7 linked regions of the Xenopus tropicalis genome follow. The main gene of each other region encodes a partner of the protein of the gene in region 3 in a complex. Links are inferred from orthologs where the notes say so. Each region holds a gene or a part of one and is shown on either strand. Other genes may lie near its edges.

The links.
Region 1: cacna1s (region 3) and cacng1 share a complex: the UniProt entries of both Homo sapiens proteins name them as parts of the calcium channel complex. The link is inferred for Xenopus tropicalis from reciprocal best matches to the Homo sapiens genes CACNA1S and CACNG1.
Region 2: cacna1s (region 3) and cacnb2 share a complex: the UniProt entries of both Homo sapiens proteins name them as parts of the calcium channel complex. The link is inferred for Xenopus tropicalis from reciprocal best matches to the Homo sapiens genes CACNA1S and CACNB2.
Region 4: cacna1s (region 3) and cacnb1 share a complex: the UniProt entries of both Homo sapiens proteins name them as parts of the calcium channel complex. The link is inferred for Xenopus tropicalis from reciprocal best matches to the Homo sapiens genes CACNA1S and CACNB1.
Region 5: cacna1s (region 3) and stac3 share a complex: the UniProt entries of both Homo sapiens proteins name them as parts of the calcium channel complex. The link is inferred for Xenopus tropicalis from reciprocal best matches to the Homo sapiens genes CACNA1S and STAC3.
Region 6: cacna1s (region 3) and cacnb3 share a complex: the UniProt entries of both Homo sapiens proteins name them as parts of the calcium channel complex. The link is inferred for Xenopus tropicalis from reciprocal best matches to the Homo sapiens genes CACNA1S and CACNB3.
Region 7: the proteins of cacna1s (region 3) and stac2 are in contact, whole or in part, in a crystal structure (PDB 6B27), measured with the Homo sapiens proteins. The link is inferred for Xenopus tropicalis from reciprocal best matches to the Homo sapiens genes CACNA1S and STAC2. Residues at the interface, in NP_000060.2 of Homo sapiens: Glu749, Pro750, Glu751, Ile752, Pro753, Ser755, Pro756, Arg757, Pro758; in NP_945344.1 of Homo sapiens: Tyr301, Lys302, Phe303, Gln306, Glu307, Asp310, Asn326, Asp328, Trp329, Phe340, Pro342, Asn344, Phe345.

The regions. Positions count from the first base shown.
Region 1 is NC_030686.2:51,096,666-51,101,250, reverse strand, and holds the start of cacng1 (voltage-dependent calcium channel gamma-1 subunit), read right to left. Parts: upstream 2,885-4,585; 5' UTR 2,828-2,884; coding exon 2,587-2,827; intron 1-2,586. UniProt on the Homo sapiens protein: Regulatory subunit of the voltage-gated calcium channel that gives rise to L-type calcium currents in skeletal muscle. Regulates channel inactivation kinetics.
Region 2 is NC_030682.2:28,139,090-28,143,138, forward strand, and holds part of cacnb2 (voltage-dependent L-type calcium channel subunit beta-2), read right to left. Parts: intron 2,898-4,049; coding exon 2,761-2,897; intron 1,187-2,760; coding exon 1,110-1,186; intron 1-1,109. UniProt on the Homo sapiens protein: Beta subunit of voltage-dependent calcium channels which contributes to the function of the calcium channel by increasing peak calcium current. Plays a role in shifting voltage dependencies of activation and inactivation of the channel.
Region 3 is NC_030678.2:63,894,059-63,898,107, reverse strand, and holds part of cacna1s (voltage-dependent L-type calcium channel subunit alpha-1S), read right to left. Parts: intron 3,987-4,049; coding exon 3,921-3,986; intron 3,354-3,920; coding exon 3,262-3,353; intron 3,057-3,261; coding exon 2,897-3,056; intron 2,810-2,896; coding exon 2,682-2,809; intron 1,642-2,681; coding exon 1,545-1,641; intron 1-1,544. UniProt on the Homo sapiens protein: Pore-forming, alpha-1S subunit of the voltage-gated calcium channel that gives rise to L-type calcium currents in skeletal muscle.
Region 4 is NC_030686.2:10,406,567-10,410,615, reverse strand, and holds part of cacnb1 (voltage-dependent L-type calcium channel subunit beta-1), read right to left. Parts: intron 3,645-4,049; coding exon 3,571-3,644; intron 1,930-3,570; coding exon 1,910-1,929; intron 1,360-1,909; coding exon 1,279-1,359; intron 694-1,278; coding exon 635-693; intron 1-634. UniProt on the Homo sapiens protein: Regulatory subunit of L-type calcium channels. Regulates the activity of L-type calcium channels that contain CACNA1A as pore-forming subunit.
Region 5 is NC_030678.2:140,076,757-140,081,594, forward strand, and holds the start of stac3 (SH3 and cysteine-rich domain-containing protein 3), read right to left. Parts: upstream 2,888-4,838; 5' UTR 2,780-2,887; intron 1-2,779. UniProt on the Homo sapiens protein: Required for normal excitation-contraction coupling in skeletal muscle and for normal muscle contraction in response to membrane depolarization. Required for normal Ca(2+) release from the sarcplasmic reticulum, which ultimately leads to muscle contraction.
Region 6 is NC_030678.2:135,967,374-135,971,422, forward strand, and holds part of cacnb3 (voltage-dependent L-type calcium channel subunit beta-3), read left to right. Parts: intron 1-415; coding exon 416-511; intron 512-1,776; coding exon 1,777-1,935; intron 1,936-3,136; coding exon 3,137-3,451; 3' UTR 3,452-4,049. UniProt on the Homo sapiens protein: Regulatory subunit of the voltage-gated calcium channel that gives rise to L-type calcium currents. Increases CACNA1B peak calcium current and shifts the voltage dependencies of channel activation and inactivation.
Region 7 is NC_030686.2:10,319,819-10,323,867, forward strand, and holds part of stac2 (SH3 and cysteine-rich domain-containing protein 2), read left to right. Parts: intron 1-1,693; coding exon 1,694-1,997; intron 1,998-2,141; coding exon 2,142-2,239; intron 2,240-4,049. UniProt on the Homo sapiens protein: Plays a redundant role in promoting the expression of calcium channel CACNA1S at the cell membrane, and thereby contributes to increased channel activity. Slows down the inactivation rate of the calcium channel CACNA1C.

The sequences.
Region 1 (4,585 bases), on a different chromosome or scaffold from region 3:
CATACATACCTATTTACCTACATACATACCTATTTACCTACATACATACCTATTTACATACATACATACCTATTTACCTACATACATACCTATTTACCTACATACATACCTATTTACATACATACCTATTTACATACATACCTATTTACATACATACATACATACCTATTTACATACATACATACCTATTTACCTACATACATACCTATTTACATACATACATACCTATTTACATACATACCTATTTACATACATACATACCTATTTACATACATACCTATTTACCTACATACATACCTATTTACATACATACATACCTATTTACCTACATACATACCTATTTACATACATACATACCTATTTACATACATACATACCTATTTACATACATACATACCTATTTACCTACATACATACCTATTTACCTACATACATACCTATTTACATACATACATACCTATTTACCTACATACATACCTATTTACATACATACCTATTTACATACATACCTATTTACATACATACATACCTATTTACATACATACATACCTATTTACCTACATACATACCTATTTACATACATACCTATTTACATACATACCTATTTACATACATACATACCTATTTACATACATACATACCTATTTACATACATACTTACCTATTTACATACATACCTATTTACATACATACCTATTTACATACATACATACCTATTTACATACATACTTTATGTATTTCCCTCTGCCCAGTGATCACTAACAACCCCCCATAGGGGTAGGAAATATGGGGTAGAGGGCAGGGAGAAGTTTAGGGGGTCCCTTGCTCTGCCTCTTACCCCCAGTGACCAGATACTGGGGAGGGGCATCACCTGAATCACCACACATGGGGCCACTGGGTGGGGGCAGACCCATGAGTGTGGGGGGGCTGCAGACAGAGGTGGCCCCTCCTATAATCCATGGGCCCTACTCCCCCCGCACCAGTGATAGATGGTCCTGCCTTGGTATACTGAGCCTCATAGGCCAGCGGATTGCCATATGGTCCTACCCAGTGAGTGCCCTGAGGTCCTACCCAGTGAGTGCCCAACGGTCCTACCCAGTGAGTGCCCAACGGTCCTACCCAGTGAGTGCCCTGAGGTCCTACCCAGTGAGCGCCCTGAGGTCCTACCCAGTGAGCGCCCTGAGGTCCTACCCAGTGAGCGCCCTGAGGTCCTACCCAGTGAGCGCCCTGAGGTCCTACCCAGTGAGTGCCCTGAGGTCCTACCCAGTGAGTGCCCTGAGGTCCTACCCAGTGAGTGCCCTGAGGTCCTACCCAGTGAGCGCCCAGAGGTCCTACCCAGTGAGCGCCCTGAGGTCCTACCAGTGAGTGCCTAACGGTCCTACCCAGTGAGCGCCCAGAGGTCCTACCCAGTGAGCGCCCTGAGGTCCTACCAGTGAGTGCCTAACGGTCCTACCCAGTGAGCGCCCTGAGGTCCTACCCAGTGAGCGCCCTGAGGTCCTACCCAGTGAGCGCCCTGAGGTCCTACCCAGTGAGCGCCCTGAGGTCCTACCCAGTGAGCGCCCTGAGGTCCTACCCAGTGAGCGCCCAATCGTCCTACCCAGTGAGCGCCCTGAGGTCCTACCCAGTGAGCGCCCTGAGGTCCTACCCAGTGAGCGCCCTGAGGTCCTACCCAGTGAGCGCCCTGAGGTCCTACCCAGTGAGCGCCCTGAGGTCCTACCCAGTGAGCGCCCTGAGGTCCTACCCAGTGAGCGCCCTGAGGTCCTACCCAGTGAGCGCCCAATCGTCCTACCAGTGAGCGCCCTGAGGTCCTACCCAGTGAGCGCCCTGAGGTCCTACCCAGTGAGCGCCCTGAGGTCCTACCCAGTGAGCGCCCTGAGGTCCTTCCCAGTGAGCGCCCTGAGGTCCTACCCAGTGAGCGCCCAATGGTCCTACCCAGTGAGCGCCCAATGGTCCTACCCAGTGAGCGCCCTGAGGTCCTACCCAGTGAGCGCCCTGAGGTCCTACCCAGTGAGCGCCCAATGGACCTACCCAGTGAGCGCCCTGAGGTCCTACCCAGTGAGCGCCCTGAGGTCCTACCCAGTGAGCGCCCTGAGGTCCTACCCAGTGAGCGCCCTGAGGTCCTACCCAGTGAGCGCCCAAGGGTCCTACCCAGTGAGCGCCCTGAGGTCCTACCCAGTGAGCGCCCAACGGACCTACCCAGTGAGCGCCCAAGGGTCCTACCCAGTGAGCGCCCAAGGGTCCTACCCAGTGAGCGCCCAAGGGTCCTACCCAGTGAGCGCCCAAGGGTCCTACCCAGTGAGTGCCCAAGGGTCCTACCCAGTGTGCCCGGCTGAGGTCCTACCCAGTGAGCGCCCTGAGGTCCTACCCAGTGAGCGCCCAAGGGACCTACCCAGTGAGTGCCCAACGGCAATAAGGAACCAATATCAATTGTTCATTAAGTAGGGCCCCCCCGGCCCCCACACTCCAGCCCCCCTATGTGGAACAGTTACAGGTTGGCCCCCAGATGAAATGGGAACCCTGGAATCAGAATTTGGGGGGCAAGTTGGGGAAAGAATCTTTGTTGCCTGGTTACCCTGACTTACTTACCCCCAGGAAGGCTCAGGGGGCCACATCCCTTGATCATAGTCTCCTGATCACTCATGAAAATCTTCTTCTTACACAGCCTCCATAGGCCAAAGTGGGCCACCTCGCAGGACTGGGTGTCGTCGTCCAGTTTGGGGCTCAGTACGGCCCAGTGGTCGCTCATTACGGCCGCCAACATGAGCGAGATGCCCACCAGGGCGATACAGGACGTGACCCGGATCTTCAGCACCTTCAGCTCCTTCATGGCTACTGGCTGGGGCCCTTGGCTAGTGAGCGCTCAGTCTACTCCCTCTGCTCTGTGGCTCCTTGTGCTACTGGGGCCGACACTGGGGGAGACTGGGATGGGCCGGGCCCGGGAGCAGCTGTTGGGATCAGTCACCAACTGGGCACAGACATGGGTGGGGGGGCGGGGGGGGCTTATTAATACACGGAGCGGGGGGGGGGTGCCACCTTCACTCCAAGTGTCGCAACTTCCCCCGTCCCTCCTGTCACTCTGATAGTTGCACAACCCCCTGCTATTGATCAACTGCCCCGTCCTACCCCAACTGCCCCATACTGCCCCTGATCCTACCCCAACTGCCCCATACTGCCCCTGCTCCTACCCCAACTGCCCCATACTGCCCCTGCTCCTACCCCAACTGCCCCATCCTGCCCCATACTGCCCCTGCTCCTACCCCAACTGCCCCATACTGCCCCTGCTCCTACCCCAACTGCCCCATACTGCCCCTGCTCCTACCCCAACTGCCCCGTCCTACCCAACTGCCCCATACTGCCCCTGCTCCTACCCCAACTGCCCCATACTGCCCCTGCTCCTACCCCAACTGCCCCATACTGCCCCTGCTCCTACCCAACTGTCCCATGCTGCCCCTGCCTCCTACCCCAACTGCCACATACTGCCCCTGCTCCTACCCAACTGCCCCCATACTGCCCCTGCTCCTACCCCAACTGCCACATACTGCCCTGCTCCTACCCCAACTGTCCCATGCTGCCCCTGCTCCTACCCCAACTGTCCCATACTGCCCCTGCTCCTACCCCAACTGCCCATACTGCCCCTGCTATTGATCAACTGCCCCGTCCTAGCCCAACTGCCCCATACTGCCCCTGCTCCTAGCCCAACTGCCCCGTCCTGCCCTACTATTGATCAACTGCCCATCCTACCCAACTGCCCATACCCCCCCCCCAACTGCTCCATACTGCCCCTGCTCCTACCCCAACTGTCCCATACTGCCCCTGCCCCTACCCCTGCTCCTACCCCAACTGTCCCATACTGCCCCTGCTCCTACCCCAACTGTCCCATACTGCCCCTGCTCCTACCCCAACTGTCCCATACTGCCCCTGCTCCTACCCCAACTGTCCCATACTGCCCCTGCTCCTACCCCAACTGTCCCATACTGCCCCTGCTCCTACCCCAACTGTCCCATACTGCCCCTGCTCCTACCCCAACTGTCCCATACTGCCCCTGCTCCTACCCCAACTGTCCCATACTGCCCCTGCTTCTACCCCAACTGCCCCATACTGCCCCTAGCCCAACTGCCCTGTCCTGCCCCTACTATTGATCAACTGCCCCGTCCTACCCCAACTGCCCCATACTGCCCCTGCTCCTAGCCCAACTGCCCCGTCCTGCCCCTACTATTGATCAACTGCCCCATCCTACCCCAACTGCCCCATACTGCCCCTGCTCCTACCCCAACTGCCCCATAATGCCCCTGCTCCTACCCCAACTGCCCCATACTGCCCCTGTACTAGCCTTTGCTCCTTTCAGCCTCTTGCACCAAGTCACTATCAACCCCCTCATTGCTTTATGCAGGATTGGGGGGGGGGGGGGCACAGTACCATGTAAAGTGACACCATGCAGTTTATTAAAGGGGAACTCTGCACTCCCCAATATCCACTTAATGTTCCTTAATGTTTTGGGGCCCAGATTAGGCCAATCGGATGCGGTAGTTCTGAGTGTAGAAGATGTGATTGGCCGGGGGGCAGCGGGATGGGCCAGTAACAATAG
Region 2 (4,049 bases), on a different chromosome or scaffold from region 3:
CTAGCATGACTAAATCATCACCATGCTGTCGGCCAGAGTGAATGGAAGGATAGAAAGGTGGCCATAATATGAATGAGCGCTTAAATGGTATCAATTCATTGGCCTGTGGGTTGATCCATCACCAGGGTTGGACTGGGGGTGCAGGGTTCACCGGGGTTGCCACCCCAGGGGCCCACACACCCACCACATGTGTCATATTGTGTTTAAATTGTTGCTTACAGGGTACCCACACGTAAAAATCCTGATAATAAAAGTCTTTAGCAAAGTAAATATTTACTTTTATTAAAACACACATACCTGTATAAAGGTATGTAAAAATCTCAGCTGTTAATCATCTATTGCCTGAGGCGGGGCAGTCAATTACTTTCACTTTCCATGCAGCACTTCCTAAATGTCACTGCACTCCTCACATTCCACCTCCCTCCTCACTGCCTATAACTGTGTAGCCTGTGCATGGGCATTGGTCCCCCATTCTGGCAAGATTTTGGCAGGATACAAAACTTGCCTTAATAACAATGCCCACAAAATGGCACCTGCCTGCTAGCTGGGATTGTGAATTCCAAGATTGAAAAAAACAAAATGTAAATGATCTATATTGTGTAAAGTTTTTGTTGATAAACTAACATGATAGAAAAGGATGTGGAATTCCCTTTAATTGAAACACAATTGGAGCAATCAGACCTAATGTGTATGTGTATATAGGTCTTTTTTCATCTTTTTGTGCTATATTGGACCTTTTCTAGCTAATGTACAGACATTACTTGTTGAGTGATGTGCAAGATTATGTGTAAAACACTGGTTTTTGACCACTAGAGAAAAAATGCTGATGAAAAGCCGTTGGGGGTGGAGGGTGAGTAGAGAAATAATCTGATAAATGAGCAAAATTGTTAACAAAATTACAGAATGTCAGGAAAAAGATGATAAATGTGCTAAAATTAGAATCAATGGTAAAATGCCAGGAATCCCTCCTGGACCTATGAGTAATCTCCCCATAATTGTGTTTTCTAAATTTCAGCTTTCTTTCTGGGGTTGGAGAAATGCAGAAGATAAAGAGAAGACTTGGGTCATTATAGTGGCGCCAAGGGTGTTCTATGAAAGGCTTTGCTTACCGGATGATGGTGGAGTTGATCTTCTGGAGCTAGGCACCACGTCACCCAGACTGGAAGAAGAGTTTCCCCCTGATTTACTGAGATTGAGAAAAGAATATATATATTTATTACTTGGGTACAAACATGGCAATTTGCCCCTTTGAAGCAGTATCAGAATGATTAATCTCTTGTGATAACTAGAAAATATAGAGCATAGCAGATACCTAAATGTTTAACTAGCACTGCATTATGTGTTGCTATCCCATACCTTTAAAGGGATACTGTCATGATTTTTATGGTATACTTTGTATTTCTTAATTACACTAAATAATTCACTCTACCATTTAAAATTTTATTATTGAACGAACAAATTTTTTTTTAGTTGTAATATTGGTGTGTAGGCGCCATCTCAGTGCATTGTGCCTGAGTCTGAGCTTTCAGAAGGAGCCAGCGCTACACATTAGAACTGCTTTCAGCTAACCTATTGTCTCCTACTCACATATATTTGGAGGAGTCCCAAGCCAGACTTGGATTTCTTACTATTGAGTGCTATTCTGATACCTACTGGGAGCCGCTATCTTGCTCCCTTCCCATTGTTCTGCTGATTGGCTGCTGGGAGGGGGGTACCTGTTAGCGAGTGACCCTCTTCCTTCTTATGTCTTTCTGCCACTTAAACAAAAAAGCTGCTTTTCCCTGTACATGTGTTGGCCCCGGGACCAGGAAGACAGGAGGAAGATGAGTTGGTGCACTTTTCTGCTGACAGGGGCACCAGTCAGGGGTAAAAGGTAAGCGATTACAATCACTGGGAGGTGCCTAATATTCCTTCTCCTTTAACTTCTACTTTGCTTATATTTGACAAGAGGATATATAAGTTATACAGCATATATAAGTGAATATGTTACAGGATATAGCCAGCTCTTGTGCGTTCCGTATAACAATAATGGAGTTTGTGTTTATCAGTTACGACTGCATAGAGCCGTGTGTTATCACACATTTATCTCATTCAAGTGACCGGTGACCCGTAGCAGGGCGTAGGGAGGCAGGGGCATGACAGCGCCATAGGGGTTGTAAGCCACTCCCAGCTAGTTTGGGATTGGTGGGTTCAAATGGCTGCAAGTCAGGGGTATAAAAGGAAGCTCTGTGCTTTCCCGCTTCCAGTCCATTTTAGGCAGTACAGGAAAACGCCCACCCTCCCTCCCCAAACAGGTGAGTTGATATTATAGTTTGGCTGGTGGAATGGTTGAGTCCGGGAACCAATGGTTGCATGGTTATTGGTGGTTGGCACGCCTGGCACCTCAAGGGTAAGGAGGTGTATCAGGAAGTAAGTTTGTTGAGGAGTTGGTGGTCCCGGGCTAGGATGGCAGCTGGCAGTGCTAGTGGCGTTGCGCAGTTATTGGATTGTTACGGTTGTTTGTTATACAAACGTTCAAGTTATCATATGTTCATGATATGTTTATCTTATTTTCATGTTATGTTTAATATGTTTATCATATGTTCGTGTTTGTTTATGGTATGTGTTGGCCGGCACAGCATTGTGTCAGGAACAGGTGCCGATACAGCAAATCCTCCACTAAGGATGATATATTATTTTTGCATTACACTGCATGTAATCTAGTGTCATATTCAACTTTTGATACCACTGAGAAACCATTAAAAGTAACAATATGATTACCTTGTATAGAATTTCCCCTGCTTTGTTTTTTGTTCATGTTGTATCCTCATGTTTTCTAGTTTCACAGGACTAGGGATAAATCCGATTTCACAGCCTTCTTTTACAAGCCGACCTATCCACCAGTCATTATTAAATTTCTAAAAAGACAAAAATATTATACATTATTATGATGGTATACTAGAAGCTGCACAATATTTGTAACACCTCTTTATTCTCTATATTTTGGGTATACTGAATGTTTGCCCTAGTCCAGGTCACAGGGCCTCCTATACTCCCAGCAGCCTCCATTTCTATTCAAGCAGCATGAATGTTGAACTGTAAGGTAGGGTTCAGGGAGTGCAACTATTGCATCACTGGTGAGTTAAAGCACAGATCAATGCCTCTTATGGAACAGACATCAGTAGCTAGGGCTAATATTTTAGAGTGCCATATAACTGTTAAATAATCAGACTGGAGAACAATTTAACAGCCATAGATAATGTTATAATTTCTGCTTATGTGTTATACGATATCATTTGGACTAGTAAATCTTTTTTCAAGGCAATAAGGATAATTTATCATGCACCACGCAGCGTGCAAACTGCAGAAACAGGCTGCAATTGGCAATTCTTTTGCACTTTGCAGTGCTTGATCCAAGAGGGGCAGGTGGGGGTGGCATGTAGACATCTCCCCACCTGCCCCCCTAATTTGGAATTAATTTAGACATGAAAGTTTGAGACCATCCGGAGGCATGGCCCACATTGGGGCCCAGTGGTGCAATAACAACACACTGCCTCCCTCCTATAAAAAAATATTCAGAGGGGCCTGGCTTGCACAGCTGGGGAGGAAGGATTTCTAACAACTACAGAGGAAGCAGAACCTGTAGTCAGGGCTCCCATCCATGATCACAGGGTCCCCTAAGGCAGTGCTAGCTGTGCCTCCTGACTCTGTTCCTCATGTTGCCTTTAAAGCCAGACTGAAAGGAGCAGAGCGCAGTTTACCAAGGGGGTGCAAGTGCTTCCTAGGTGAGCATAAAGGGGCGTGCACTTGTACCCCTAAGCACTCTAGCACTTGCACCCTGGGGTGTAAATGACTCCCAAGTTTGTTTAAAGAAAGAATAAGGCTATAGGAAGCTCAGTCAGAGCTGATAGAAAAGCCTACAAGACGCAAACCTTCTCCTTCAGCCAAAACTTACAGAAATTCATTTTCATAACAGTGATCTATAACTTTTGCGCCCCATAAAATAAAGAACATGAAATACATGGAAAGAGGGGAATAATATTGGGCTGATTTATGAAATATCCAAATAC
Region 3 (4,049 bases):
CACACAACTGAAGTAGTTCAAGCCTTTTCTTGTTTTAATATTGATGATTGTGGCATACAGCTCATGAAAACCCAAAATTCCTATCTCAAAAAATTAGCATATCATGAAAAGGTTCTCTAAACGAGCTATTAACCTAATCATCTGAATCAACAAATTAACTCTAAAAACCTGCAAAAGATTCCTGAGGCTTTTAAAAACTCCCAGCCTGGTTCATTACTCAAAACCGCAATCATGGGTAAGACTGCCGACCTGACTGCTGTCCAGAAGGCCATCATTGACACCCTCAAGCAAGAGGGTAAGACACAAAAAGAAATTTCTGAACAAATAGGCTGTTCCCAGAGTGCTGTATCAAGGCACCTCAGTGGGAAGTCTGTGGGAAGGAAAAAGTGTGGCAGAAAACGCTGCACAACGAGAAGAGGTGACTGGGCCCTGAGGAAGATTGTGGAGAAGGACCGATTCCTGACCTTGGGGGACCTGCGGAAGCAGTGGACTGAGTCTGGAGTAGAAACATCCAGAGCCACCGTGTACAGGCGTGTGCAGGAAATGGGCTACAGGTGCTGCATTCCCCAGGTCAAGCCACTTTTGAACCAGAAACAGCGGCAGAAGCGCCTGACCTGGGCTACAGAGAAGCAGCACTGGACTGTTGCTCAGTGGTCCAAAGTATGTCATTCGGAAATCAAGGTGCCAGAGTCTGGAGGAAGACTGGGGAGAGGGAAATGCCAAAATGCCTGAAGTCCAGTGTCAAGTACCCACAGTCAGTGATGGTCTGGGGTGCCATGTCAGCTGCTGGTGTTGGTCCACTGTGTTTTATCAAGGCTAGGGTCAATGCAGCTAGCTATCAGGAGATTTTGGAGCACTTCATGCTTCCATCTGCTGAAAAGCTTTATGGAGATGAAGATTTCATTTTTCAGCATGACCTGGCACCTGCTCACAGTGCCAAAACCACTGGTAAATGGTTTACTGACCATGGTATTACTGTGCTCAATTGGCCTGCCAACTCTCCTGACCTGAACCCCATAGAGAATCTGTGGGATATTGTGAAGAGAAAGTTGAGAGACACAAGACCCAACACTCTGGATGAGCTTAAGGCCGCTATTGAAGCATCCTGGGCCTCCATAACACCTGAGCAGTGCCACAAGCTGATTGCCTCCATGCCACGCCACATTGAAGCAGTCATTTCTGCAAAAGGATTCCCGACCAAGTATTGAGTGCATAACTGAACATAATTATTTGAAGGTTGACTTTTTTTGTATTAAAAACACTTTTCTTTTATTGGGCGGATGAAATATGCTAATTTTTTGAGATAGGAATTTTGGGTTTTCATGAGCTGTATGCCACAATCATCAATATTAAAACAAGAAAAGGCTTGAACTACTTCAGTTGTGTGTAATGAATCTAAAATATATGAAAGTCTAATGTTTATCAGTACATTACAGAAAATAATGAACTTTATCACAATATGCTAATTTTTTGAAAAGGACCTGTATATATATAATAGTAATAATAATAATATATTTCTGTAGCCAATATAACAGATATTTTACCTTACAAGCTACACGATGAGGACAGAACTTTCCAAAACCAAGAGGAGGTTGAATTCGTCGAAGGAGTGTAACTACATCAAGGTGCTTGATTCGCCCCCTGTAGAGATTAACTTTATTAATTTTAAAATATCATATTTGCATATCTGGTTTCTCAAATTATATTGCTTTCCTTATTGTTTTCAGACCAAACTCTTTTGGGTCTTTTTGTTGCTCATGGGCCGCCAGTTTAAGGGATTTAAGGGATGCCCCAGCCTTATGACTCTTTTAACAACCGGACTGGCAGATATTTGAATATTTCAAAGGGGCTGTTCGCTAACTACATTTTTTTGGGGGAAGGGTTTAAATGCCCTGGGAACACCAATTGCACAGGGTTGAAATGATTATGACTGTTAGGGGGTGCACACCACCACTGGCTAGTGCAGAATTCAGAAATTACTGTGTGATTTGTCCTGCTTTTTGTGACTGAGTAATCTGCTGGTTTAACCAGATCAGTCACTTTGCTTGCTCTGAGAAAGTATTCATAATGATCAAGTGAGCTGAACCTACAACTCGAATAAAATGCAAGCATCCTATACCTGCTGTTTTAATAGCATTACCTTACAAAATAAATTTTTTCCTAGTGACTAGACATGCTAAATATAATACTAATTTAATTAATGTAAGTTTTGCAAATAGTTACATGTATAAAATTTTGAAAAGCAGAAAAGGGGGAAGGAGAACAGACAGGCAAAGAGGAAAAAGAAAAAAAATATGTTGTGAAGAGTGGAGGTAAAAGGCATAGCTAAAACTGGGTTGTGTTTAATAGACAGATAGATGAAAAGTCAAGAGAACAGAATAATGACCAGTGGAAAATAAAAGAGAACATGTAAGTAGGCATATTGTTCTAATAACATATATGGTGTTTGCTGTCGGTCCTGATGGATTTCTAATGTGGGGATACCAGGAAATTTGCAGTCCTTCTGCTGGGTGTAAACATCCTCTATAATGGGGGTTCAGCATTTATGCTACTGAGAGTGGGACAAGAGGGACATTCTGCATGTGTACTGCTGGATAACTGAGCTAGTGTGCTGTGAACACTGAATTTGGAACTCTGCACCAATATGATCCTATCTCTTTCTTGCAAAGCAATACACCTACTTGGCTTCAGGGTCATACTCTGCCCAGATCCTTTTAAACTCATCCAAATGGTGTGGCCCCAGAATAGACCAATCACGGGTCAGGTAGTCAAAATTATCCATGATCACAGCGACAAAGAGGTTGATGATCTGTAGAAATATGACATAACAGCTAGTTATTAAAGAACAGAACAATAAAATGAAAATGCAGACTAGTTCTTCTAGAAACTCTCTTACCAAGAAAGCACAAAGCATGTAGAAACTAATGAAATAGAAGTATGCAAAGCTGGTCCCACATGTGTATTCCTCACCAGGCAGGAAATCAGACTTTGGATCACACAGCTTTCCATAAGAACAGGCCAGAAGAATTTCCTGCCAGGCCTCCCCAGTTGCACACCTAAACAGAAATGTTACAAACTTAAATCCGCAGTATTTTTTCATCAGATAAATAAACTGCATTTCTACTTGGAAATGCAAAACATGCAAATCAATATCAAAGCCTTCCATGATATTTCTAGTGAAAATCCCAACTTTCCCAATTGCTAACTTTGGATCTTCTTTTTTTCTATTTTTATCAGTGTCATACTATACACATATATTACCTAAAGAGCACTAGTACAGCCTGAGGGAAAGTCTGAAAGTTGTTGTTGCGATTTATTTGCGTTCCATCAACCATGGCAATTTTACCAAAAACCTAAAAAAGCAAGAAGATATGTATGAAAAATAATGTACTTATTATGTAATTATGTAATAGGCATGGATTAATAAAGGACATATATATTAAAATACTTGCTTTTTAACATTGACTAAGAAGATGGACAGAGGTGCTGTCCTTACGCAATAAGAGGGGAGATTTAAAAAAGGACACAGGAAGGTTAATATCCCAGATAAAGAAGTTTCCATTTTGTCCCCAGAAAGTGTAAAAAAAAATTCATTTATTTTGCCAAAACCACAAATGGACCAATCCCTGGATTACTGTTGTAATAAGACTACTCATATTTATATCAATAGCCTTGTATTTTCAGCCAGAATTGGTCTGTTTTATATGCTGTGGTATGAGTCTTCACTAGAAACATGAACAGACAAAAACAAAAGAAAAAAAATCCTCTGCTAAGCCAGGAACAAAATAACAGTAGTGTTTAAATAGTTAAACAGACTGAAGAGTAGCCAATAGTATACAGTGCACTATATAGTGTATAGTGCAGCCAATAGTGTAATGAATATCTATACTGTGCTTCCCCACCATGTGTAACATACTAACCTGCATTCCAATGACAGCGTAGATAAAAAATAGCATTACTATGAGCAGTGCCACATATGGAAGTGCCTGGAAAGAAAATGATGGGATCATTAAGAATGAATATAAGTAGTCAATATTATTATTTTGTTT
Region 4 (4,049 bases), on a different chromosome or scaffold from region 3:
AGTGGCTGAATGGCAGCTGGTTAGAACTGGGATTCAAAATAGACCCTGGCACAAAGGCCCAAACAGCCCCCCAGCAGCCCAATAAATAGTGACTGTCTATGGCATCTTACAGCCCCCCTGGCATTCCCAGTACCCAGAGGCACAAACAGCCCCCCAGCCCAATAAATAGTGACTGTCTGTGGCACCTTACAGCCCCCCTGGCATTCCCAGTACCCAGAGGCACAAACAGCCCCCCAGCCCAATAAATAGTGACTGCCTATGGCATCTTACAGCAGCCCCTCTGGCATTTGCCAGAACCCACAGATTGCCAGTCTGGGCCTGTATCTATCCTTCCCTCTTTCATAGTGGAGAATTATCAGTTCTGGACTTGGAGTCAAAATAGGCCCTGGCATTTCAGAACCCACAGATTGCTAATCCAGTTCTAACCTCTAGCTGTGGAGGTTACTAATAAAACCCTTAGTATCTGGGGATAATGAGGTATATAACCTGAAGGCCACAGCATCTCTACTACTTATATGTATATACATAGAAGGCACCCAAGGTATATGTGTGGGGAACCTTAAGGGTTGTTAAACCTCAGAAGATCTAGATTCAAAATCACACTTGCAAGTATGTAAAATGACAAAATTTGTACCTCCCATCAAATCGGTGCTTCAAGAAATCAAACAAAGCTTTCTGCATCATATCTGTGACCTGCAGGAGAGGAAAAGAGGCTTTAGAAAGAAAGAAGGAGAGGTCTGGCAAACTGGTGCTACAGGGATGAGAGAAAATAAAAGACACTGAGGTATGACTGACAAGAGAGGGAAACAGAGAAGTGGATTGGATGGAGAAGGGAAGGCAAAGACAAGTATGAAAAAAATTCATATAATATCATATAACCTATTGTTCAGTAAAAAACAAAGTCCAGTGTGCAAATGGCCAGTGCATTTAAAGAAGCCAGTCTGGAACCAGTTGGGAACAACATCCTTTTTTTCCACTATCATTATCATATTGTCTGTTTGAGCCAAGCCAGCTGAAACGTTCAAACCTTGATGAAGTCATCTGTTCCAATTGTTTCTTGGAAATACACATCCAGAAAATCACATGAAACCCTATATCTATAACAGTATCAGTACCAATATGGCCAGCTTAAGTAAAGGGGGAGGCAGGAAAGCCCAAAGTATGACTGACTGCATGATGGATACACAGCAGGAAACAGAAAAGTGAGTAATGCGGAGAGAAGGAAATCTGAAAGACTATCTAGTCAAGTGGCGAATAGGTTTGGGGGTACACGGTCACCTCATAACCCTTTAAAGATGGTCCCACTAGAATGATCGGCCTCATGGATGGAACAACATCATAAGGGGGGATGTGCTCTGTCTGTAAAAGAAAAGATGAATTATCTCACCTCTGTTTACTCACATGGAGTGTTCCAGGGTTTGAAAGAACCTCCCACGCATATTGCTCTGTATACGTATTATTATCGTTATATGGTATATGCATTTACAGCCAACACCACAACACCTCACTGCACCCACAGCAGAAGTTCAGAGACAGCATGGCATGCATTATTTACTGAAAGGCACAGTACCCAAAAGAATGTCACAGACTGAAAGTGACAGCTAAAGAGATAAGAGGGCCATGGTTACAGAGAGACCCCCTGGCAATGATGAAAGCCTGGGCGCTATCATTTGAAAAGAAAATAATTCATAAATTCAGGGTTTCCTGAGCAATAACTGGAGCCGCCCCCCGAAGCATACAGAACAATTATTATTAATAAAATATATTATTGACAAGGGGTCTCTCTGATGCAGACAGGGCTTTCTGCCCTGCCATAAACCCTCCATGGACAAATAAAGACTAGATAGATAGAAGAAAGATAGATAGAAGAAATAATGCAGATACAACGAGTAAACAAGTAATTACTTACTGACTTCTGCCTCTGCTTAGCTATGCCAGTGTGAGAAGAAATGGGAGAGAGGAATGTGACAGGTGTAGAGAGACATAGAGGATAGATGAGGATGTGGGTGGATTGAAGAAGGGATAACCGCAGTGAGGGGGGGAGAAAATGGAGACATAGGGAAGGGGGAGAGGGAATTTACAGGAGGTGTAAGTGAGAAGGAGAAGAGAAATAGTGGAAAGGGTATAAGGCAAAAAAGTAATGAAGAAGAGATGAGTGAGGATCGGGAAGGTGTGAGTGGGAGGAAATGAGTAACAGAATGGATGGCGGGAGGTGGATGAAACAAGGGAGGAAGGAATAAGAAAGCAAAGAGAAGAGGTAAAAATAAAACCATGCATGTTATTTTGTATACTCTCTGAGATATGTATGAACAAGAGCATGCGTCTGTACAGAAACATGCATGTTCCTGTATCTACATATTCAACTACATGCAAAGTACATGTTCTATAGAGTCAGTATGCACCTGCTTCTGTTTAGACACACTAGGTTTATTCACTCTCATAAACACAAGCAGGCATATCATCTGTGTGTCAATATTCTTATATTCACACTGCCTTCCACTTGCTCATACACCTATATGTCCATAGAACTGGAACTCACACATAGGCACACTCTCTTGCTGCCACACTCACACAGATTGGAGATTTATACACACATACATGCATGTATAGAAATGCAAGCATCTGCTAGGCTCACTGAAACTCAAATTTCCAGTTATTATTTCCACAGCACAGAGTGTAAGCTCTTAGGGCAAATATCAATCCTTGCAGGAGAAGCAGGGTTAGTGGCACGATATGGCGACTGGGGGTTACCTTCTTAAAGAAAGGGACCCGTTTGGTAGTGGATGGAGGGGTGGTTACGCTCCCTGTGCTGTTGAGGGGGGAGCGCTGAGCTGCTTGAGCTTCTGTTTCCTCGTACTCTAAATCAACGTGATCTATATCGTAAACTAAAGGGGATTCCAGGGGACCTGAATAGGAAGGGAATGTCCAAGAAAAAAAAGCAAGTGTGAGTGGTAAGAAGCGGGGGGTACAGTAAGAAAATGAGTGGGAAAGCATAGGGACATGAGACAATGTATAAAAAGGAAATACATGAGGTTACAGTGAGATAGGTAAAAGATATGGTGAGTTAAAATGGAAAGATGAGAGGGTAATATAAAATAAGATCATGTTTGACTACATAGGAAATACTAAACACGATGGAAGAAGGGAGGCATTGGAGTGGGGAGAACTGGAAGAACTACATAAAGAAAATATGGAAGAAAAAATTGTTGAAGTAAAGTGGAGAGAAAATAAAGCAGTGAATGGAAATAAAGTTGTCAGGCTGTGCAAGGAAAATGACAGGGGACAAACCTTCTGTTATCGGAGTCTGATGGGGTATATAGTGTCTAACTGAACAGCCTGCCATGGATTTGCATCTCCTGCACTATAATCTCCTTCATCATCTGTTCTACCACTCAGTCTTTCCTGTTCTCTTGCAGGCATGATGCCTTTTCTGTCTATCCTGCAAGGGCCAAACTGATCCTGCCCGGCCCGCCTACCCTAGCCATTTTCTCTGCTAAAACACAGGGTGGAGGAACCTGCACTTGATAGTTGTATAAATGAATGGTAGATTGGAGCAGGAGAGGGTCTCACCTGTAGCTGGGGGTGTAGGTCTGCGGGTCCCACTAACCACATCACCTAAACTGTTGGAATTACCAATGGATTTACTGTAAAAGAGGGAAAATGAAGTTAGGGAAAGCGAAGGAAGAAACAGAAAGTTAAATACAATCATTCAAAAATAATTGAGAGTATTAATGTCCCATAAACTCTTTTCACAGAGAACTTATGCTCTTTGCTCTGATTAGGAGGTGAGCTGGGTGACAATCCCATTAATGTTTTGGTGTGTGACATAGATGGGCTCTGTGATCCTGTAGGCAGCAATCTACAATGACTTTTACATAAATATAATTTACTAGTGATTGTTGGGCCCCTATGTTTGGCCATTCTGAAGGGGCTGCAGTGCTTTAGTGGGCAAAAAAAGATCCCTGCGGTGTCTCCTTTTAAATTACTAAATTTGAGGGGACTAAGAGTGTTGGAGGGCAACAAGCAGCGGTTCAGAACCTTATATATCA
Region 5 (4,838 bases), about 76 Mb from region 3:
TTTATTTATAAAGCGCTACTTATGTACGCAGCGCTGTACAGTAGAATTCATTAATACAGACAGGGGGTTAAAGATAATGGATAAATACAAAAGATAATGGATAAATACAAAGTACAACAATAAATACAAGGTGCAGTTGGAATAAGAGTCAGAAACACAAGATGAAGGAGGTCCCTGCCCCGTAGAGCTTACAATCTATATGGATCTATAATTTGGATCTTCATACTTTAAGTCCACAAAAAAAAAAATAATTAAACCGTTAAACAAACCCAATGGATGGTTTTACCACCAATATGGATTCACAGCTTAGCTACCATCAAGTACAAGGCACTGTTTCATAATTACAGAGAAAAAAAAATAAAATTATATGGGTAAAATTGAGTCTATGGGAGATGTCCCCTTCCATTATTTGGAGCTTTCTAAATAAATGGTTTCCAGATAACAGATCTCATACCTGTATCCGACATCTGATCCAGTCAGTAAATGCTTTCTTTGAGGATCCCTATGGGTGCCATGTGTAATCTAATGAAGCAACAGAACATTGTATTTCGTACCGAAAACTGCTAGTTCACTGAATGTTTTGGAACTATGAAAATTCTTTCATCTCATATTTTGTACAGGGAACCGCTAGTTCACAGAATGTTCTGGAACTATGAAAATTCTTTCATCTCATATTTTGTACAGGGAACCGCTAGTTCACAGAATGTTCTGGAACTATGAAAATTCTTTCATCATCGTATTTTGTACAGAGAACCACTAGTTCACTGAACGTTCTGGAACTATGAAAATTCTTTCATCACAAGGGTGTTCTAGAGCTGTTGGCGCCATACTCCCTACCAGCTGTATTCCTATATGCCACCTACACATTGTTTAAATACCATTGTTTGAATGCATGCAGTATAATTACGCAAATACAGCAAGCAGAAAACCATAGACGCCTGAAGCTTTCGGTATATTAACCACAGACAGTGCTTGGGGTTTTGTGGACAAACTATTTTCGTAAGCAGTGTAACTGAAGCCCTGGAGATATTAAAAGCCATGTTTGATGGCTGATAACAGCTGTACTCTGTCTGAGCGCTCTGATGGGACATCATCCCACACAAATTCTAAAGGCTTGGCAGCTGACTGTATACTTTTTGTAGATGCGAGGGGTTAAAATTAACAGCTTATGTGTCCAAAGACAGGACAGAAACAGTGAATGTGACACAGGCAGTTTGCATCTTGTTGTAAAGAGAAAGCACCTTCCAAAATATTTGGATGGAAGTAGATGTAGATGCTGGCACTCATACTCACACACATACTGTACATGTATAAAGGCTGCTACTGAATGGAAGAACATACTGGTGTTTCTTATTGGGGAGTCTTTGGCAGCACCTGAGTGATGTGTGTGTTTCACACTACCTTACAGCCCCAGGAGGCAGCTATTAGGACCAAACAAGAGGTAAAGAGATTAAATTACATTAGATCCCCTAACATATCTAGTATGGAATTATCCTAGAATAAATAAAAGTTAAAGACAAGAGAAGACAATTTTTTTGGCCACTAACCATTCCATTTTAGCTAGGGCAGTCTCATGTTTTGGGTTATGAAATGGTCGCAGGCTTACTGAAAAGTGGGTGGAGTTATGGGCAGGTTTGGGTGTGGTCTTGTGGAGTGGAAACATGGCCACAAATATCCCCATTTTTAATCAGCATTGGCAGGAATGTAAGCGGATGTTTGGCAAAGTGCCACTGACACACCCACTAAAGTTTATTGCTTACACACTGGGAGGAAAGATGGGTGATCACAGTGGGTTTTGAAAATGAGTCGATTAGATAAGATATGCCTATAAGCTATTTTATTGGTTCTCTAAAATGTATGGCAGCCAACTTGTTTCACAGCATGAAAAAAATTATCAGATTATAATGTCGGGGGGAATGAATAAGCAGTAGAATGTTTGAAAAATGTTTTAACTACTAGGCAAGACTTAAAGAAACAAGATCTGTTCGATTTTCTTTTACTTATGATATAAAATCAAATTGCAACAGTGTTTTGGTTTGCGCTGCCTAAGCTTAGTTTTCCAGCATTCCGTGTATCCATTTAAGGACTGTAAAGGCTGCAGTGATGGAAACAGTGGGTTCCGGACCGGTGCTCCATGACTCTTATAACCAAATGTTATTTTATAAGGATAGCTAGAATCTCAGCCATAAGGCAGAAGTAACAGGATATAGACATTAAATGCAAACATAAAGATAAATAAAATATTTCTAAAACTGAAATAAATCACTGTCACAAGAAATCCCTATACAGTGATCTAAAGTATTAGAACAAACACTATAATGATTGCATCCCCTGTAAAGCAATAAATCTTTGTCTAAAGAGCTTACAATTTGTGTTAAGCATTTGTTAGTGACTTGCTATAGTCAGAAAAGCAAATGAAACCAAGGTAATGTGCCTATTTCAGGAATAGGCATCTTGCCCCCTTTCCCCCATAATTCTTGCTGAACTACAACTATCAGAATCCCTGCGCTTCTGCCTCAGCTGAAACACTACAGTTCCACTGTATTTAAACTCACAAAAATATATCATTGCTATAAATAATGATAAAGATCAATATATTTATTAACAACCTTGATGTGGCCGAAACATTGTGTATGTGGAATTTTCTTTACAAGATAACTAAAATGAAATCCAAGCAGGTACATGATATTTTGTTTTATGTGGCATAAAGATCATTTAAAAGGAAATACAAAGAAGCATTAAAGGGCAAACAGAAATGGCGTACAATGCCTAGACAAACCTTACACACCTGTAGTTCTCAGATGGGGATCTACTGGAACATTTTGTCTTCAGAAGGCACTTTCAGACCTTAGGTGAGGGGCACAGAGATCCTTCGTTCACTCCTCTCAGATAATGAAACAAACTGCTCCTCAGAGGAGAGGGAGTGACAAGTGTGGAGGTGACAGGACAGCTGAGAGGCAAAGGCTGACACAGAGAAATCGGAAACTTTACAAGCAGCCATAGCACGGAGGCAGTAGGCCCAACCAGGAATTGGAGAGGTGGCTGAGAGGTGGGAAACTGAGGAAAGCGCAGGAGTCATTTCATTCCTGGGAGTTTGTCACACACACAAAACAATTCCTATTTTTACTGGAATTCAACTTGGAAATGATAATATGTTTTGGTTTTAAATGTGCTTTTTTTTCCCTCTTTCCCACTAATGAATATGAAATGCCAGGAAAAGGCTTCAGGCCTGTTTGTGGTTTGGCAGAAGGAATTCCAGAAGGGAGGCAAACAGAAAGGTAAATTATTCAGAAGAAAGAAAAACATCTATAAAGCTTAGATTGCTTAGATTAAATTGCTCTGTGAAATACTAAAGGTTATGTGTTGGGGAATCACCAGTTTATATGCTTTGTGTAATATAAAAATGGCAGTCAGTATGCTAAGCATTGGAAGATATTTTACCCAACACATTCACTGCATTCCATGGATAGAATTCAAGAGACTCAAAACATTCCAACACTGGCTCTAAACATTCTGTTATAATAATTTCAGGAAATGTGTTTCACCTTTAAATTAATTTCATGGGATGGCCAATTTTTAGCAACTTTTCAATGGTCTTTTTATATTTTTTGTATCATTTTGTGCAGCTTTCAAACGGGGGTTACTTATCTTTCTATTCATCCACTCTACTATTCATATTCCAGTCTCAAACTACTGCCTGGTTGCTAGGGTAATTTGAAACTTAGCAACCAGATAGCTGCTAAAATTCCAAACTGAATAGCTGCTAAACAAAAAGCTAAATGCATTGAAACCACCAATAATAAAAAATGAAGACCAACTGCAGATTGTCTCAGCATGTCACTCTCTACATCATACTAAAAGTTAACAGTGGCGTAAGAATGGAGGAAGCAGACCCCACAGTCACCAGGATGGGGGGGGGGGCAGGGGACAGGGGGGCCCGGACCACAGGGGTTGCTTCCTCCAGTACTGCATATAAATCTCTGCTCCGCGTCAGCTTTCAGGTAAGAGAACAGGCAGGTGTGGGGATTCATATGGGAGTGGGCACAGAAGCCAATTCAGGGGGGCAGGGGAGTCTCCAATGAGTCTCCTTGATGACCAAAGAACACAACATTCTATTTTTTTTTTTATTCTGTTCAAAATCTGGAGAATTATTCTCATAGCATAAAAAAGTGTACATTTTATTGTGACGCTCTTCCGTTTAGTGCTAATGTGCAGCTAGATTTGTTACGGGGGGGGGTTAACTTTCTAGAATGGAGCAGCTATAAGTTTATATGTGTTTCCAGCACCAGTTTGCTCGTCTGCTGATGCACCATGCGCAGGGCAACATCTTGATCAGCAGATGGAATAGTGGTACAAATGATCAACCAGTGATAATAAAAACAATTAAATGTCACCCGTTTAGAGGAGGCACAGGGTTGTCACCCTATTATATATGGCAGAGCATCTTTCATACAAAGAGCAGATAATGGGGAAGCCAAACAAACCACACAACATGGGTTTGACCTGCTGAAGCTACAAGTCAGTAACAGTTAGAGGGCTGCAGGTATGTACTGAAACTTTGTATCTTCACTGTCTCTGCTCTACCCTTACACTTACCCTGGCCTTGGATGTTCCCACACCATGAAACTATTAAGGGGAAGTATTACCCTTTTTCTCTAAAACAGACATTAAGGGTCTCTCTGCTAATTAAGAAATAGCTTTTGCATTTCATTTAACAATTTCAGTTAACAGCAAGTCAGCAGCACATTTATGTTTCGGTCTATAAAAAACATTAGATCTCTGCAACGGTGAGAAGTGGTACTGCAAGTCAGGGCTTCATGGCGACCCATTTAATAATT
Region 6 (4,049 bases), about 72 Mb from region 3:
CTAGCATGTGCCTTGGCTTGTTTGTGAATAATATGATCCCAGGAGATGACCCTTAATTCTTAAAATGGCAGTTTTTTACATATGAGCTTGTTTATGCAATATATTTTATAGAGACCTACATTGTTTGGCAGTATAGTTTTCCTTTAATATAGGGGCAGCGCTGCCTCAGGGGCCAAGTTGATGCCACCCCCAGCTCCCCTCCCCCCATTTTAAAAATTGGAATTTCGGCTCTTTAAGTTACCAGGAGTGTTTTTTTGCCACCCCTGGTAAATTGCCAGGCATTGCCACCTTAGGCGAGTTTCCTAACTCGCCTCATGACTGCAGTGCCCCTGTATAGGGGTAATATATATATATATATATGCGCTGATTTATCTGTTAATCACCGTGCATAATTTCCCATGTACATACATTCCAGGTGCTGCAAAGATTAATAAAATCCAGGGGAAAATCTCAAGTCAAACATCTCAATGTCCAGATGCTGGCAGCCGACAAGCTGATACAGTGCCCTCCGGTGAGTGAGAACATTAATGGCAGCAACTGTTGTGGAGTCTCTCTTTTATATTGCTGGAGGTGAACTCTGTCTTTATTTTCATGTGGTTGCTCCCATGGGAATGTAGATGAAAAATAAAACTTAAGGCTCATGGCACACGTGGCTAATTGCTGGGTGAAAAACACCAACAGAGAATATGCCAATGGGGCCGTGAGTCTAGTGCTTTTGTACAACAAAAACCAGGGCTTAGGTTTCGAATTTCATCCATTTTACTCCTTGTTTGTTTATAAGTATCACTCAGGTATAGTATTTTATGATGTTTAGGTTTATTTAATTACTATTTCTTTAGTTCTGCATGGAAACTGCTATCTTGTTATTTGAATCATATATCTTGGTTTCTTATTGTTTGCTACCAGCTCTGTTGCTAGAGATGTTTCTTATTATATGAGTCCCAGAGATCAGGGCTTCAAGATAAGTGGCCCCTTCATCTTTAGGTAAAATACGGGTAGTTGCAGGGGGTTAATGTGAGACACAGTCGTATATGATTGTGACCTTATTAGGAATGTATCTTGGGTGTATCAAGCTGTAATCAGGTGTAGCCTATGTTGGTAGCTAGTCCTGTTTGTGCGCCTCTATGGTCACATACAGACAGTCATTTTGACTTACCAAACTCCATTCAGCAACTAAATGTGTGTAAATTCAGGCTAAATCTGAACTAAAGATTTTATCGAACATCAAGCCCAGATCTGATTGCTGCATCCTGGCTAGCACACAAATCCCATCTATAAGGTGTGTATGTGATGAGACAAACACACCAAATTAAATTTCCCCTGTGTCACACTGTAATAATAAATCAGAGATGATTATTAAGCCATTGGAAGATGAATTCTAATGATGATTTACTGCCAGTGGTGTTAGCAAATAGCACTAAGCCATTTTAGGTTATGACTCATGAAACATATAGAAGTGATAGATCTAAAGGCACGTTAGATGTCATCTGAATCTGATAATCTAATGCTTGAATGTTTGGGAGGGCAGGCCCCATAAAGTTCCAAAATTATTTGACCTTAATAGTATAAGTAGTGAATTGATGAAATGTTGCATTGAAAATGTGCAGCAAAACTGAAACGTAGCATAAATAACCCAGCTCTAGTACCAGCAGCCTTTCTATATTTCTGTATAACATGATCTGTCACCGGTGTCAGGCCCTTCTCCATGGACACTGGCTCACTGAATGAAATCTGACAGCTGCTTTGTGCATGAATGATTTCTTTGCTCTTCTCTAGGAACTGTTTGATGTGATATTGGATGAGAACCAGCTGGAAGATGCCTGTGAGCACCTTGCTGAGTATATGGAGGTTTACTGGAGAGCCACACACCACCCGCTGCACCCCCAAAACAGTCAGAACCTTATCACACCCCCAACTGCCATTCCTGGTTTACAGGTATATAACTTGAAGTTCTAAATAAAGGATAGATGATTTTTTGCCTTATAAAAGGAAACCTAATTCTAAGAAAATTTGCAAAACAATAAAACTATTGAAAATGTTTAATTAAAGTTATTTGTAAATGTAGGTTTGTGAGGTTAGTATTACGGCTGCTTCTGATTCTTGAAACTGTGTAACAATGCTGCTTCAGCCACCTTGTTAATTAGCAGGCTTCTGCTATATTGTTTCAACTGCCAGAACAAGCAGCACAGGGACTGCTGAGCTGCAAGTTGGAGTGATATTACCCAACTCAATTACGCTCTCTACACTAGCGATGCCCCCACCCTTCGGGGGGCCAGCATCGGAAGACGCCCCTGTGTGTAGCACTGGCTCCTTCTGAAAGCTCAGACTCAGGCACAATGCACTGAGATGGCGCCTACACACCAATATTACAGCTAGACAAATAAATTTGTTGGACTAAGAATAACATTTTAAATGGTAGAGTGAATTATTTGCTATGTAAATAGTGTAATTTAGAAATAAAAAGTATTCCATAAAAATATTGACAGAATCCCTTTAAATAGTTTGCCCAATGCAAAACTGAAAGAAAACAAAGAAACAAATAAATGGGCAAGCTGATCGAATAAGCGAACATTGTATTGTATGATGCTGGTGTTGAGACCTCAGTGGCGGCACTGCTATCGTGAAGCAATCTTGCATGACAATTTTTCCTTACTGGGAGTCTGGAGAATGACAGCGATACTTAGGTCGGGGCTGGGATTTTAAAATAGGCCCTGGCACTTCAAGTACACAGAGGCCCAAACAGCCCCCACCAGCCTACTAAATAGTGACTGTCTATGGCATCTTACAGCAGCCCCTCTGGCATTTGCCAATCTGAGCCTTGACACGGAACAAAAGCTTCATTAAAAGTGGCATTGCTACGTATGTCTATAGTTGCTACAGCAATTGCCAAAGACAACAATCTTACATTTATATAATGTTGTCTGATGTGTTCTGATCTTATTTACTATTCCTGTTTAGAAGCTTTTTGTATCCTATACTATATGCCTTCAGCTGGGGCAGATAAGCCATGCCTTCCTCCTGCCCCATGTACTGTACCTGTATAATACCAGTCAATGCTGCAATTTCTTCTGTGTTTGTGTGCATGATGTGAAATGCCTGACACTGTCAGTTAACAAGTGTTTCTATTTACATTCAGGACCAGCAGCTTCTCTCTGATCGAGCCAATGAGCACTCACCCTTGGAGCGTGACAGTTTGATGCAATCAGATGAGGCGAGTGAAACATCCCGAAAAACATGGACAGCTTCATCACAAAGAAGCTCTCACCATCTTGAGGATGAGTACTCTGACACCTACACTGACCTGTACCAGCCCCACAGGCACCACAACAGTGGACTGAACAGCACGAATGGGCATGACTCTCAGGACCGGCTCCTGGAGCGGGATTCTGAGCAGAACCATAATGATAGGAACTGGCAGCGTAACCGCCCATGGCCTAAGGACAGTTACTGAAAGGGATCTCACTGCACACACCCGTCCTACACACATACACACACTCCTCCTGCATGGCAGTGCATGTCAGGAGGCACAACCACTGAGTGCAAATTCCAGGGTAGCTCCAAGAGGCAAAACTGTACTGGTGAACAACAGCCCTTTTTACATATACCAGGTGCCTGGTAGCTATTGGCTGCAAAACAAAGGTGAGACGGTAGAACAGAGAGAGAAGTAGATGCACATATGCAGCGCCTGCTGCCAAAATGGATCAAAAAAATTAAGACAAGGTATTTTACAGTCCAAGGCAGCATGGTGCTTAACACACACAACCAATTCTATACACCCACGAAAGCTGGTAGTATTGAAAGGCCTCCTATGGGAATCTCTTTGGGCTGTATCCACACATACCTTCTAGCACTTCCACAATACACAGTCACAGGTTTACACAACAGAGTGGCAGAAGTCCTTCCTACAGTGACACAAGTGTGTCAGTCAAGGTAAGAGTGAGCTTTGAGTGGAGTGTGGGGTTCGGGTGACTCTCCTGCTTGTCAGTGCTTGCATATTCTCTCAGTATATACAGTATAATCTGCAATACACTTCATATCTCCTGTTAGGC
Region 7 (4,049 bases), on a different chromosome or scaffold from region 3:
TATTATTGTTACTTTTTACTACTATTTGTGTATTCAGGTTCTCTTTTATTCCTATTCCAGTGTCTCATTAAAACCACTCCCTGGTTGCTAAGGTAATTAGGACCCTAGCAACCAGAGAGCTGCTGAAATTCCAAACTGGAGAGCTGCTGAACAAAAAGTGAAATAATTAAAAAACTACAAATAATAAAAAATAAAGACCAATTGCAAATTGTCTCTAGATGCTAACGGATACTTGCCATACATCCCATTTGCCATATCTTGACTTTTCCTTGCTACTGGGTTACTGTATAGGCTGTTACCGTATGCTGCTGTAACAGAATTCTTGTGTTGGTGGTTTCAGTATACCTGGGTGTTCTTCTACCTGTTACAATTGAATGTTTTCTATATTAGAAAGGAACAAAATGTAAATTATTTGCTTAAAAAAGAGCCTATGGGAGATGGCCTTTCTGTAATTTGGAAGTTTCTGGATAATGGGTTTCTAGATAACGGGTCCTACACCTGAATTATGTAGCAGGGTTAAAATTACAGATGCATCCAGGGCAACAAGTTTGTTCCCTGCAGAGCTTACAATCTAATTGCTCTAAACCCGAGTCACAAGAACAGTACCTATAACCACTTTGATAAGCCTCCCTATTCCCCCTCACGTTCCCCCCCCACCCCCCCGTATTTCTCATGGCCGCATAGTAACGTGACCAGTTCCCATCCCAGCAGATAAATGGCTGCTCAGAGTGAGCTCACACTTGGCATTGTCCCAGTGTCTCCGGGGGAGAGTTTGTTTAAACGCTGACTTCAGTCTATACGTATAATAGGGATGTGGCACATCTCTTACATGTGTGAGGAGATAGAAAGGGTTAAAAAGCAGAAAAAATACATTCACGGAACTTATCCAGAAAAAAATATATGGAAATGGTGGCTGTAACATATGAATGGAAATGCTTTATTTGAGATGCAGACTATAAACGCTCAATGAGACCCCCTTTGGTTCCAGGGTACCTTTATGCTTCCTACTAACACGTCTGCAGACCCAACCTTCCTATAGATCTCAGCGGCACTATACCAAGCGCTGTTAATGGTGATTTAGATCCATATTTGTCTGTGCCCTTATCTTTTTCCTGCACCTTTCCTCTCTTTATGGAACTGACTTGTTTAGTCCCCCACCCACCCCCCCATTCCGTTCTCACCCCATTAATGCTCCCTCCACTCTCCTCATTGTGTCCTTCCAGTTGTGCCTAATTCATTGTGATCCAGCTGTCAGCGGTGTGCCCTGGGCACTGGTCATTCTCCGATGATAGCTGTGACCCTTGTCACCAGTCTGTAGGGCCTGTCACATCTCATCGGCACATTTGGTTGTTCTCGGGGGGCCCTATGACCTCTTGTGAGACAGAGAGCTGCACAGTAGGACCCCAGGGTGGGGTGGAAATAGCCCCAGTACTAGAATTCTCAAAACCTCAGAATCCCCCACTTTCTCCCCTGTTTCATGTTTTTCTATTCTCTTATTTGGTTGTTCTCGGGGGGCCCTATAACCTCTTGTGAGACAGAGAGCTGCACAGTAGGACCCCAGAGTGGGGTGGAAATTGCCCCAGTACTAGAATTCTCAAAACCTCAGAATCCCCCACTTTCCCCCCTGTTTCATGTTTTTCTATTCTCTTCTTTATTATTTCCTCACTCTCTCCTTCCCTGATCTCTTCTCCAGCTTCAGCGTTTTCGCCGTTCTATCTCTCTGAAGACAATCCTACGCAGCAAGAGCGTGGAAAACTTCTTCCAGAGGCCACTCACTGAATCCAAAATACCCTCTGATGTCCTTCTCAGCCCACCTGCCCCTCCGCCTCCCCCCTCTCCACCTCCGGTCCCCAGTGAGGTTCTCCCTCAGACTGAACAGTCCCCCCACCCCTGTCACAAGCCCCTCTCTGTCCTGCAACCTGTCCAAACCCACAGTTTCCATGAACACGTCTTCAAGAAACAGTGCCCCTGCCACTTGTGCCATCAGATAATTGTCGGTAAGTGACTTTGGGGTGGTAAAAGAAAACAATGGCTTCTGCTTTTAGCCCCAACTGCTATACAAAAAAAGCAAAGGGTAATTGGTGCTTCACCTCAGGCCATCAATGGATGTGACATGTGACATTTTTCCATGTGTCTTCCAGGAAACTCCAAGCAAGGCCTGCGCTGTAAGATGTGCAAGATAGGAGTCCATCTGTGGTGCTCGGAGGAAGTATCTCATCAGCAATGTCTGGGGAAGATGGTGAGATAAGTAGAAATGTGTTAATGGTGAATGCGCCCCCCACCCATGTCTTGCCTTCTATTTGCCTCTCTCTCTTCTATAAATGTATCTGCATTTCGTTCCATCTGCTCCCTGTTATCTCCAGCAGCCCTCCTTACATATATTATCCGCTTCCAGTTAAAAGGACAGTAACATCTAGAAATAAAGAGGCTGCTTATGGATTTAAATACCAGAGAAGGGTCGTTTCTAAGAGATGTTTCTGCGGGGGGAAAATCAGTGGAATCTCTTTTTTTTCCTCAGTACTGTACAAAACGTATGGAACAAATAGTAACGTTTATTCAAGTATTGTCAAATTTCACAGATTCCAGCAATACATAAATGACTGCTTTCTAATTGTATAGAAAATGTTCCCGACTTTGATTAATATGCTCCTTTCACTTTCTGTGTTCCACTCTATTCCCCTTCTCTTAAGACTCAAACAACTCCCTTCTTCTACTGTATATCCGTGATATGTACCCACTCCCTTCTTCTACTGTATATCCATGATATGTGCCCACTCCCTTCTTCTACTGTATATCCATGATATGTGCCCACTCCCTTCTTCTACTGTATATCCATGATATGTGCCCACTCCCTTCTTCTACTGTATATCCATGATATGTACCCACTCCCTTCTTCTACTGTATATCCGTGATACGTACCCACTCCCTTCTTCTACTGTATATCCATGATATGTACCCACTCCCTTCTTCTACTGTATATCCGTGATACGTACCCACTCCCTTCTTCTACTGTATATCCGTGATACGTGCCCACTCCCTTCTTCTACTGTATATCCGTGATACGTGCCCACTCCCTTCTTCTACTGTATATCCATGATACGTGCCCACTCCCTTCTTCTACTGTATATCCATGATACGTGCCCACTCCCTTCTTCTACTGTATATCCATGATACGTGCCCACTCCCTTCTTCTACTGTATATCCATGATACGTGCCCACTCCCTTCTTCTACTGTATATCCATGATATGTGCCCACTCCCTTCTTCTACTGTATATCCATGATATGTGCCCACTCCCTTCTTCTACTGTATATCCATGATATGTGCCCACTCCCTTCTTCTACTGTATATCCATGATATGTGCCCACTCCCTTCTTCTACTGTATATCCATGATACGTGCCCACTCCCTTCTTCTACTGTATATCCATGATAGGTGCCCACTCCCTTCTTCTACTGTATATCCATGATAGGTACCCACTCCCTTCTTCTACTGTATATCCATGATACGTACCCACTCCCTTCTTCTACTGTATATCCATGATACGTACCCACTCCCTTCTTCTACTGTATATCCATGATACGTACCCACTCCCTTCTTCTACTGTATATCCATGATACGTACCCACTCCCTTCTTCTACTGTATATCCATGATATGTACCCACTCCCTTCTTCTACTGTATATCCGTGATATGTTCCCACTCCCTCTATATCTGTGATATATGATATGTGCCCACATCTCCATTTCCCTCCTGGCCTTTATATTCATTCCCTCTCTCTTCTGTATCTCCAGTCACTTTTCTACTCCAGAATAATATCTTGGCTTTTGCTGTCTTCTTTCTCCTGTATCTAATATCCTCAGCAACTTTGTTAGAACTTGGCTTCTCTGCTTTTTATGCCCCCTCTCTAAACCTCCTCTCTGCCATTTCCTATCTTCTATCTATCTATCTATCTATCTATCTATCTATCTATCTATCTACCTATCTACCTATCTATCTATCTATCTATCTATCTATCATCTATCTATCTATCTATCTATCATCTATCTATC